Sus scrofa: one gene and its partners. The main gene of each other region encodes a partner of the protein of the gene in region 2 in a complex. Links are inferred from orthologs where the notes say so. Each region holds a gene or a part of one and is shown on either strand. Other genes may lie near its edges.

The links.
Region 1: the proteins of MTOR (region 2) and RHEB are in contact, whole or in part, in a cryo-EM structure (PDB 6BCU), measured with the Homo sapiens proteins. The link is inferred for Sus scrofa from reciprocal best matches to the Homo sapiens genes MTOR and RHEB. Residues at the interface, in NP_001373429.1 of Homo sapiens: Arg62, His69, Glu73, Ala101, Thr102, Ile104, Gly105, Arg106, Asn109, Tyr110, Arg112, Asn113, Phe140, Glu143, Tyr144, Phe147, Glu154, Arg160, Thr969, Gln973, Phe977, Lys980, Glu1010, Phe1011, Gln1014, Met1018, Ser1050, Thr1051, Asn1264, Lys1293; in NP_005605.1 of Homo sapiens: Lys5, Ser6, Arg7, Lys8, Arg15, Pro37, Ile39, Glu40, Thr42, Gln57, Ala62, Asp65, Tyr67, Ile69, Gln72, Thr73, Ser75, Ile76, Asp77, Asn79, Asp105, Met106, Val107, Gly108, Lys109, Val110, Ile112.
Region 3: the proteins of MTOR (region 2) and FKBP3 are in contact, whole or in part, in a crystal structure (PDB 5GPG), measured with the Homo sapiens proteins. The link is inferred for Sus scrofa from reciprocal best matches to the Homo sapiens genes MTOR and FKBP3. Residues at the interface, in NP_001373429.1 of Homo sapiens: Glu2032, Tyr2038, Phe2039, Gly2040, Arg2042, Tyr2088, Val2094, Leu2097, Tyr2105, His2106, Arg2109; in NP_002004.1 of Homo sapiens: Lys160, Pro161, Leu162, Ser163, Lys170, Tyr198, Lys201, Gly202, Gln203, Pro204, Asp205, Ala206.

The regions. Positions count from the first base shown.
Region 1 is NC_010460.4:5,813,912-5,817,478, reverse strand, and holds part of RHEB (GTP-binding protein Rheb), read right to left. Parts: intron 1,843-3,567; coding exon 1,760-1,842; intron 1,121-1,759; coding exon 1,064-1,120; intron 950-1,063; coding exon 902-949; intron 102-901; coding exon 20-101; intron 1-19. UniProt on the Homo sapiens protein: Small GTPase that acts as an allosteric activator of the canonical mTORC1 complex, an evolutionarily conserved central nutrient sensor that stimulates anabolic reactions and macromolecule biosynthesis to promote cellular biomass generation and growth.
Region 2 is NC_010448.4:71,308,395-71,311,961, forward strand, and holds part of MTOR (serine/threonine-protein kinase mTOR), read right to left. Parts: intron 3,368-3,567; coding exon 3,250-3,367; intron 510-3,249; coding exon 264-509; intron 1-263. UniProt on the Homo sapiens protein: Serine/threonine protein kinase which is a central regulator of cellular metabolism, growth and survival in response to hormones, growth factors, nutrients, energy and stress signals.
Region 3 is NC_010443.5:175,317,018-175,319,908, forward strand, and holds the end of FKBP3 (peptidyl-prolyl cis-trans isomerase FKBP3), read right to left. Parts: intron 2,034-2,891; coding exon 1,936-2,033; intron 869-1,935; coding exon 814-868; 3' UTR 541-813; downstream 1-540. UniProt on the Homo sapiens protein: FK506- and rapamycin-binding proteins (FKBPs) constitute a family of receptors for the two immunosuppressants which inhibit T-cell proliferation by arresting two distinct cytoplasmic signal transmission pathways. PPIases accelerate the folding of proteins.

The DNA.
Region 1 (3,567 bases), on a different chromosome or scaffold from region 2:
TAATAATAAAAAAAAGTACCTGATTTTCTTTAGCAGAAGATTCCAAAAAAGCTGCATTCCAAGATTCTGCTAATGCTTTCCCTTCTTCATAACTGATCACCCTAAAGGAAGGAGAACATCTCACTTCAAGGACTCGGCTCTTTATTACATCAAACACCTGTGACTTGACTTGGGACACAGGCTCCACTTTCGCCAGTTTCTTAGGAAGCAGAAGCAAGCTCTGCTCAAGGCTATCCTGCAGGACGTAGGGCAGAGGAGCGGTTCCGTTACCCCTGAGCTGGGGAACAGAGCAGACGCCGCCCCACGGGGTTCCCTGCGCTCCAGCAAGAGCTCTGGAAGTTCGGGGAACAGGACCCGGGCACTCTGGTACCCGTCACAATTGACTCTTTCATGGTCAGCGAGGCTGTGAGCACCCAGAGACGGGCATCTCTGAAAGGGCCACAGCTGAGCCCTGCTGTGCACGGGCTGTGGGCACTCGGCCAGCGGCTCTCTTCCTCCCGAGATGCTCGGCTCCAGGGAATGGGGCCCCTGGCTCCTGGTCCATCGCTCTGAGCCCTAAGCCTGGCACTCTCCGAAACTATCTGTTGAATAAAATGAGTGCTACCATTGTCTTTTTAGAATCTGCGTTATGCAAAATGGTACAAGAATAAGAATCCAAAGACAACTGTCCTATCGTGCTTGCTCTTTTTTAGAGGAAACCCTTTCCAAGGTGCGTGAGATCTTCACTGAAGTTCTGCTTCTGCTCCGCACAAACACCGCCCCATTTCTGAACCCCCAAACACAGATATGCTACCACTAAAAATATTCTTGCTTTAAGAACAATAATTAAAAATGGAACTTCAGTGACTAAGTCATCTTAGACCTGACTTTATAAATCAGTAATTATTTAGAAGCTACATACCTTTCCATATGTAGGTCTTTCTTATTCCCGACCAACATAATAGGTATTCTATTAATACAAGGGGAAAAAAAGCCAAAGGACACAGATCAGTGCCTGATTTGATTGTTCCCGAGATACTGTTCTGAGTACATCTATCAAAAGAGCGAAACCATTATTACTTACTGCACTTTCCCCACCATGTCCAACAATTTGCCATGGATGACTTTAATCACTTCAAAACTATAAAACAAAAAGCATGAAATTAGACATTCATTTTAGTGATGCTTTAAAGCGTTTGTTATGTCATGTGTATAGTGGGAAAAACTGAAGCTGTCAGACTCACTGTTTTCCTATAAACCGAACACAAGCAATTCCTTTACGGTCTCTCACCACTCTTTCCCTCGTGTGTGTATTCGACACTCAGTACCCTTACTGACACTACTCCAAGTGGAGCAGGGGCGATATTCAAATAGGAAAGTCTAGGCTGACTGAATCTCTGAATAAGCATTTGTGGACCGTTCCTAAACGCGAAGGCTCTACGCACACGCGGTCTGTGCTCCACACTGACATGGTGAAAACAGACCCAGAGTAAATCAATTAGTGCGTTTTCCATTTCAATGAGCAGCCAAGCTCAGATGGTGTTCAATCATTACCTATCTAGGCAGCCTGAGGCAAGAGGCAGAGGTTTCCTGCCGTCAGTGTGAGAACACCTTCTGGGATCGTTTTTCCCCGTAACGACCTGCTTGCTCCACAAGACAACCCCTCGAAATCATGCAAGTCCAGCCGTAGGTACCAGCAAGGACAGCGTCATCCCTTGGAGGGCTGATGCTATCTATGCCCAGCAAGCACACTCAGGCAAGCAGGAGAAGGGAGTCTTACCTTTTGATTGATGTAACAGAATACACGAGGATATAACCGTTAATATCTATGGAGTATGTCTGAGGGAAGATGGAATATTCATCCTGCGGAAGAAACACGATCACATGTGAGCAGAGTGTTCACAGAGCATAACCAGTACCCTTTGCCCCAAGTTTCTCACATGTCACCTCATCAGAGAACTCAAAGCAAACAAAAAGTAGATTAATACCTTCTTTAGAAACACAGCCCATACACCCAAGATTGATTAAAGACTGGTGTGGGGGCAATCGCAGGCTTTAAGCCAGTACAGAGAGTGACTCTGGCTAGTCTCAGACTCCGGAGGGAAGGCTACTGTCCGTAGTAGCTCCTGGAGGGACGGAGGGATGACAAGACCACAGGCTCCGTGGTCTTGGACCAAGGGAAAAGCACCATCACATCTCTTACAGGCGACAGTCCAGTGTCTCTTAGCCCTCACAGGAGATGCACGAGTGCTCCGGGTTTGGTCCATCAATCTGTATTTCCTGCACTGAGCCATGAGGGCCTAGCCCCAGTCACTGTTGGGTTGCCACGAGCATTTGAAGAGGAGGAGAGAAGAGAAACAAGACACTAGACTCAGGCAGTAGACTCAGGCTTCTTAGGATCAAACCAACTATTTATTGAGCAACTTTAGGGATTAAAAAGAAAGGTATCTATGATGCAACAGCATATGAGTACCAGTTTTATACAGCTTTATGAAAAACCCCGCTGCTTTAGATACAGAATTATTACAGCATATAGAAATTTCTAATGTCAACTCAGTATTCAAGAGTGCCCCTGTGTGGTACACACATTTCACCCTCAGCTGAAACATAACTGTTAACATACCACACATCCCAAGTGCTATTAGAGAAAAATTACGGCAAAGCCACCACCATCATGTAACCGTCCCTGTTAACTCTGCAATTCCAGTATGGTTATGCTGACTCGGAATCGCTGCCCTAAGTATCTTACAAAAAAAAAAAAAAAAAAAAAAAAAATCAAAGAAAAGCTTTTACTATCAGCTTTGCTATTATACATTATTAACGAGATGACAGCATTTCAACATCACAGATCTTACTACACATGCAAACTAAAACTTTTGGTTTCAGTACTAGTACAACTTTCATTAAGCTGAATTCATTTAAGTGTTGATGATGAAAAACAAAGCCTTAACAGAATGACATATTTTCACCCAGATTAAATAACAAAATTCCAGGAGTTCCAGTCGTGGCTCAGTGGTTAACAAATCCGACTAGGAACCATGAGGTTACGGGTTCGATCCCTGGCCTCACTCAGTGGGTTAAGGATCCGGTGTTGCCGTGAGTTGTGGTGTAGGCTGCAGATGCGGCTCGAATCTGGCGTTGCCATGGCGTAGGCTGGCAGCTCCAGCTCTGATTGGACCCCCGGCCTGGGAACTTCCATATGCTGCAGGTGCAGCCCTAAACAAAACAAAACAAAACAAAACAAAAAAGAGGCACAGTGTAAAATACAACTAGTTAGAAAGTAAAATGGAGGAAAAAGACCCTCAACTGTAACAACAACCAAAAGAACAAAACTCCTAGGAATAAACCTAAGAAAATAAAAGTAGATGATCCATCTGAAGATAATCTTAAAATACGCCCAAGAAAGAAAAGACTTAAATCAGCGGACGAGTGTCCTGCACGCAGTTTCCAGCAAGAATACGCAGAGTCATAGGGGGTATCCATTAATTAATCCTAAATCAATACACACATATAATATAATCCTGATAAAAAGTATGCTTTCTGAGAAAAAAACAGCAATTGCAGAGGCAGGTGGGTGGAAACCACAAA
Region 2 (3,567 bases):
GCCCACGCGTGCAGGAACCAGGGGAGGGGTTTGCGCATGTGGGAAGCCTGACAAAGACCTCGTTTTTCAGCGCGGCCTCCACCAGCTCCCCAAAGGCAAGTGTATGCACAGAAGCACCGTCTCACGCAGTGCTGGACGGTGGCTGAGCCATGTCTCCGAGCTTCATCCGGGCAGAGCCCGGGCTCCTATAAGCCCATGAGGGCTCCATCCGCAGAGCGCCTGCTGCCTGGCTCAGGCCCTCATGGAGGAGGAAGGGAGGGTACCTCAGTGACCTTCTTCTGCAGAGGAGACGGGGTGGGGCTGTTCTCAGTGCTCTCGGCCTCGCTCTCGCTGTTGCTGCCCTCAGTGCTGGTGGCCGTGGCGGTGGCCGCTGTGGTGGCTGCGGTGGCTGCGTTAGTGATGTTGGCCCCGCTGGCGTGGCGCAGCTTCTTCTTCTCGTCGCGGGCTTGGTTCTGATGTTTGTAATGGAGCACAGCTTCGAAGTTCATCACTGCCCACGCGTGCCAGGCCTGGGGGCAGGGGCGAGAGGACAGACAGCGCAGTTGTGGCCATAGTAGGGGCAGGAAGGAGCCCTGGGCATCAAGGGCCTTGAGCATCAGGCCAAAGCTGAGGAAGATCACAGACTGCCCTGTCTTCTCAGCGGTCAGTAGAGCAAATCTTTGCTTCCATGGCACCCTTGAGAACGGGCCATTTTACCAAACCCAGTGCGATTCACTCATTTGGTGGGGCATTGATTCGATCAGGTCTGTGGTGGGTGCCATGGGGCAGGAGCTCATGAAGAGGAGCAGGTGACGGTCCTGGCCTCAGGGACCTTCTAATCGAGTAGGGGACAGGGGCTGGGAAAGCGTCACAGGGAGGAGGGATGGGGGGGCCTGAGCAACCTTCCGTGGGCAGGGGTGGGGGAAGAGGGAGGGCAGCAGTGAGGGTGTCCCGGCAGAGGAAGAGCAGGGACCGAGTGCTGGGCGGGCAAGCACAGGGAACAGTCAGGTGTGACTGAAGCTTAGGGTACAGGGTCCCCAAGAGCAGGGAAGGGCAAGCCTAGCAAAGCGGTAGCCTCAGAGCAGGGACGGGCTGGCACGTGAGGCCAAGGAGGTGCCACTTCATTCTGTAGGAAGCAGAGCTTTTTCAGATGGGTTTGAAGCTGGCTTTGAAAGACTCCTTTGGTGGCTGGGAGTTCCCATCATGGCGCAGCAGAAATGAATCCGACTAGGAACCATGAGGTAGCGGCTTCGATCCCTGGCCTTGCTCAGTGGGTTAAGGATCTGGAGTTGCTGTGAGCTGTGGTGTAGGTCACAGATGCGGTTGGGATCTGCTGTTGCTGTGGCTGTGGCACAGGTTGGCAACTGTAGCTCTGATTCAACTCCTAGCCTGGGAACCTCCATATGCCACGATGCGGCCCTAAAAAGCATAAATAAATAAATAAGAAAGATTCCTTTGGCAGCTGATATAAAACAGATGATTCGAACAGAGGTACAGGGAGAGAGGGTGAAGGTCTTAACCAGGCCAGATGACAGCTGGACAGGGACTGGCTGGGGGCACAGAACCACCAGGGAGGGTTGGGTCTCGGTCACTGTGGGTCCCTTGCTCCTGGCCGGGGCCTGTCAGAGAGCCAGCGCTCAGTGACCGATTGCTGCAAGAAGCCTTTGGGGCTAACTCGGATCGCAGCTCTGAGGTTCTGAGCTGCAGGGACGCTGTGGCACAGCACTGCCTGGTGTACAGGGCACGAGGAAGAGTCAGATTTGGGACCTTATAAGTTTGCAGTGAGAGTAAGACATTAAATAGGCCACTCACAGCTGGACTTTCTGCATCATCAGTAAATTCCTTCGTGTCCCTTGCTAAAAATCTTTCTTTAACATAGGACTGTTCATTTCCCACCTAAGCAGAGTGATCGTAAGTGACCTCTATTTGGTAAATAAGAATTCCACAACGACCGCGGTTTGGTTTTCCCATGTATATATATTTCTTCCTTTATTGGCTGCCCTGTGGCATGTGGAGTTCCTGGGCCAGGGATCGGATTTGAGCCACAGTTGTGACCTATGCTGGCAATTGCGGTAATGCCAGCTCCTTAACCCACTGCGCAGGGACAGGGAGCCAACCCTCATCCGGTGCTCTAGAGACGCCAACGATCTGGTTGCGCCACGGTGGTAACTCCCCCTACCTTTATTTACTTAACAAGTACCTCTTGCATGTGTGCTGTGTGCCAGGCACTGAGCTGGGTCATGGGGAACCGCACAGAAAGGGCCCCGGCCCGTGCTTGGGGCTGCAGCACACCACTGATGGGAGGAAGGCAGCGGAAACCCAACAGGGCCCGTGCTAGGGGAAAACGAAAACTAAAATTTCTGGAGCCGGTGTTTTCTTGTTTTGTTTCTTTCTGAAAAGCTGAATGAAGAGAAGGGATCTGGTTAGGAGATAGTTCTAACCAGAAAAGTTCCCACTAAGCAAGGGTTCACTGGACACAGCTTCCCAGCCCCGGACGGGAGCTGTTCGAAGAGAGGCTAACTATTGCTGCTTTCACAAGATGAGCATTTTTGCGGTGGACTGAAGCACGCTGAAGCCAGGATAGGAACGTAACTGCAGATGCTTTTGGGGTCTGCAGATGCAGGTTTTGATCCCAGAGGGACGGATGACACCCGCCATACTGAGCAGCTATGAACTAACAGGAGGCTGCCCGATAGAAAAAATGAAAAGGAGATGCTTTCACCACAGACGCATACTTCCAAGCACCACCCTCTAGCAGCCAGTCACTTCTTCGTACATTTTCCAGTTCTGTGTATCTTCCTGAGAGATTTCCTGCGACCTAACAGGATGTTACCCAGAGCTTTCCAATGAAAACAGAGAGTTCAGCTCTCAGATGAGGAGCAGGCAGGGATGGAAATCAGAAGGGAGCTGGGAAGGAACAGACGACCCGAGGGAAGATGTTTCAGAGCCTCACCGGGTGTCCAGATGCTCCAGGAAAACAATCGGCTAAGAGTCTACAAGAGAACAGCAGCCCCAGGCCGGCGCCTACGCAGGGGTAATGAGCCCTCCTCAAAGTCTATCCATCTTTCCGCGCCCATCAGACTTGGAAGGGGCCTCTGACACACTGGCTCTGGCCACTCAAAGACGCAAATTCTCGGTATCAGACCAGTGCCCCGCAGCTTTGCGGCAAAGCCCGAACGCACGGGGAGCACAGGCAGGCTGGCAGGTGCTGGGCTTTGAGGGGGCTTCGTGTCTGGGGCGGGAGCACAGCCGGCTCCACCTCTGGGTTACCTTGTACCAGCTACGGTCGTGCTCCGTGGCGGCGCTGTAGTACTGCAGGACTTTAGGGATCGTGCTCTCGTTGATCCCCTGAAGGTTCAGCTGCCACTCTCCAAGTTTCAGGAAACATCTGGAAACAGAGAAACAAGCCCCCATGTTGCTCCTTCCTCAGAAGAGCCCCCCGCCACCCCGCCCCAGGAGAACAAGGAATTATGTCAGGGGAGCACAAAAGCCAGCGTTGCTGATACCTACGCCTTCTCTCAGGAATCAATTGAGGGAACCTCAGAATTCTCAGCCACGGGGGAGACAGGCTTTGGGGAGAAATGTTTA
Region 3 (2,891 bases), on a different chromosome or scaffold from region 2:
GATATAACAGCAGAAAAGACACCTATTAAAATACTGTCTTGGAATAGAGATTATAAGTGAGGAAATGGAATGTTTGCATCCCCTTAAAAAATGAAAGTCTTATCAAAACTATGTTGTTTCAGGAGACTTTGTATTTGGAATATTCATGTAAAACTTGTGAGCAAGCTTTCATTTTGATCAAACTGATCATCTTCATTTTTGTAATAAAACTGAAGACTCATCTAGTAATTGTTATGAATTTATTTGTGGCGATCACCTAATAATACTAACTTAATATTTACCTTCAATGGTTTGTTGGTTTTGAAGTGTATTTTTCTTGAATTTAGCTATTATCTTGACAAAATTTCTTAGACCTTTTAACCTTTCGCTTTTTCTCACTCTCTGCTTTTGCCTTCCCTATACGGAAATACGTAAAGATTTTAAGATGAGTATCTCTGGCAACACTGTCCAGACAATTTTACTGTTACTCCCTGGTTGGATGAAGTCTTAACTCCTTGGTTAACCTAATCAGAACATTAATACATTTATACCACACAGATCTAGAGATTGAATAAATTTTTATTGAGCCTTTTAGTTTACCATACGGGGTAAAAGGAAAACCGGTTCTCTTTAGGCAATATTTTACACAGCTGTAGTAAAATATTTTAAACTTAAAGGATTTATAACAGATTACATTTCTTAAAGGTTGAGCATCAAGTAAACAAGCTGTAACTTCTTGAATTTTCCAGTTGACTCTTTCCTTATAGTAACCAGCTGTAATAAGATACATAAATTTTCTCAAGGTCAGTTTTATTGTTGCTGTTCTTTACTGTCTCAGTCAATATCCACTAATTCCACTTCAAAAATAAGTTTTGCATTTGGTGGAATTCTGTTGAAGGAGTCAAGGTAGATTTGATAAAAGCTGCCTCTTGCCTCACTCCCAATAAAATTTAATCTAAAATTAGAATTATGTACATTGGATATTGGTAAGTAACTTTACGACGATTCAGAGACTAATACATACTAACCTAGAGGTTCCAAAAACTATTTTTGTGAATGTAGGTCATAATCTGTCAGTACAGGCTGACTAGGTAAGTTGAACTTGAATTTGGATCTTCCCTATTTGGATGCCTCTCTGGTACTCCTAAATTCGCCACTACTTGGTGAAGACTGCTACTTAGTACTTCAAAGAACAAAAAAGTGATTTCAATCTAGCTGGGTATATAAGTTATATTAAATCAAAGTTCATGCAACATAGTACCTGATATTTGCTGTGAATTTTCACATGTTGAGTTCAAAGAGTGATTTTTATTTTATTGGTCTTGAGGTACTTGAAGTGAGAGAAGGAGCTACAGTTGGCCAATATGATCTTGACAGGCTGAGAAGGCTATTACACGCACAAGTAATTTTAACTGATACGACTAGAAAGGATGCCCCCCAACCCCCAAACTAGTCCACTGAGAATAGAACCAACAGCAAAAAACTACCTTCCCACTTAGGTTTTGGATTGTTTTGGTTGTATTAGAGTCATGGCTCTTTTGTTTACAGGTTGGGTCTCTTAGAACAGTATTGTCAGTGTACAATCACAAATACTAACCCTATGATGTTGGGCCTGTGGTCTTCTTCATTTCATAACTAGTAACGAACATGTGTTCCATTTCTAAGCTTTGAGTACCCAACTAATTACCTGAAATTATAATGTAGCATAAAATTACCCTGAATCATATTTGAATCCTACAATTTGCTACATTTGTTTGTATTGAACATCTTAACTCCTTGAAGTAACCTTTCAAACATTAAGAGTAGCCTTTCAAAGATAGAAACTTAAATCTCAGTTTAGGTCTTGAAAATTAAGAACTTAAATAGGAAGGAAAAAAGATTAAAAAAGAGGTTAACTACCTGGTACTTCAAGTAATCTTAGTGTTTTTCCTTTAATTATAAAGGGAAAAAGGATACTTGGCATCAGGCTGTCCTTTCTTTCCATAAGCCCATTCTGGTTCAATCTCCAGTCGAGCCTTTTCTCCTTTACTCATAGTTAGGAGTGCTTCATCCCACTAAAGGCAAGAACTTAAAATCAAAACTAATGATATTTTACAAAAAATACATGCAAAATCACATACAAAAAAGCATTCTGTTATAAGATTTCACTGTGTTCTAAAGTAATGTCCCTGCTTAAGTCCCTAAATCTTTCTTTTATTTCCTCAATAAAAAAATTAGACATATTAAACAATTTTTAGTGTAAATATGTGAACTCTTCAAAATGATATAATGTAAAAAAGCACTTTTGTAAACTAACGTCATTCATTATGGAAACAACTAGAATGATCATAAATCTGTTATACTTTTATATCAAGGGATAAACTTCAGCATTTATTTTTATAGATAACAAGTACTCAGTCTGAAACTCTTAAGATATTGTTGAAACATAACAACCACGTAAAGCACAAAGGATAGAGATAGATCTGTCACATGTGGGAAATTACATATATAGCTGACTAGAACAAATTTACCAGTAAGCCAGTTAGTTATAAAAGTAGCAAAATAGCTCAGTTTGATACAGCAACTTGGTATAATCAGGTTGTAGTTATTTTCAACTAAACCTTTTGTTTCAAGATGTTTTATAAAATACTTTGGGTTCTGGATATGACTGAAAAATATTTTAGGACTTAACAGTACAAAGCATAACACAGTAACGGTTCTCATAACTTCATTTAAATAGGTGTTCTGGTTATAAACGTTTGATGTTTTAAGTAAAACAATAAATGGGCCCTAGCATGACAACCTGATTCAGTGCAGCTGACCATCAGCTTTTTTTTTCATCTCCATTTTGCAACTGCTGTGGTCAGTACTGCCTAAGCTTAACTTCCCCCCTTTTCAAAGTTTTCTTCTTACCTCTCACATGAAGGATGGGT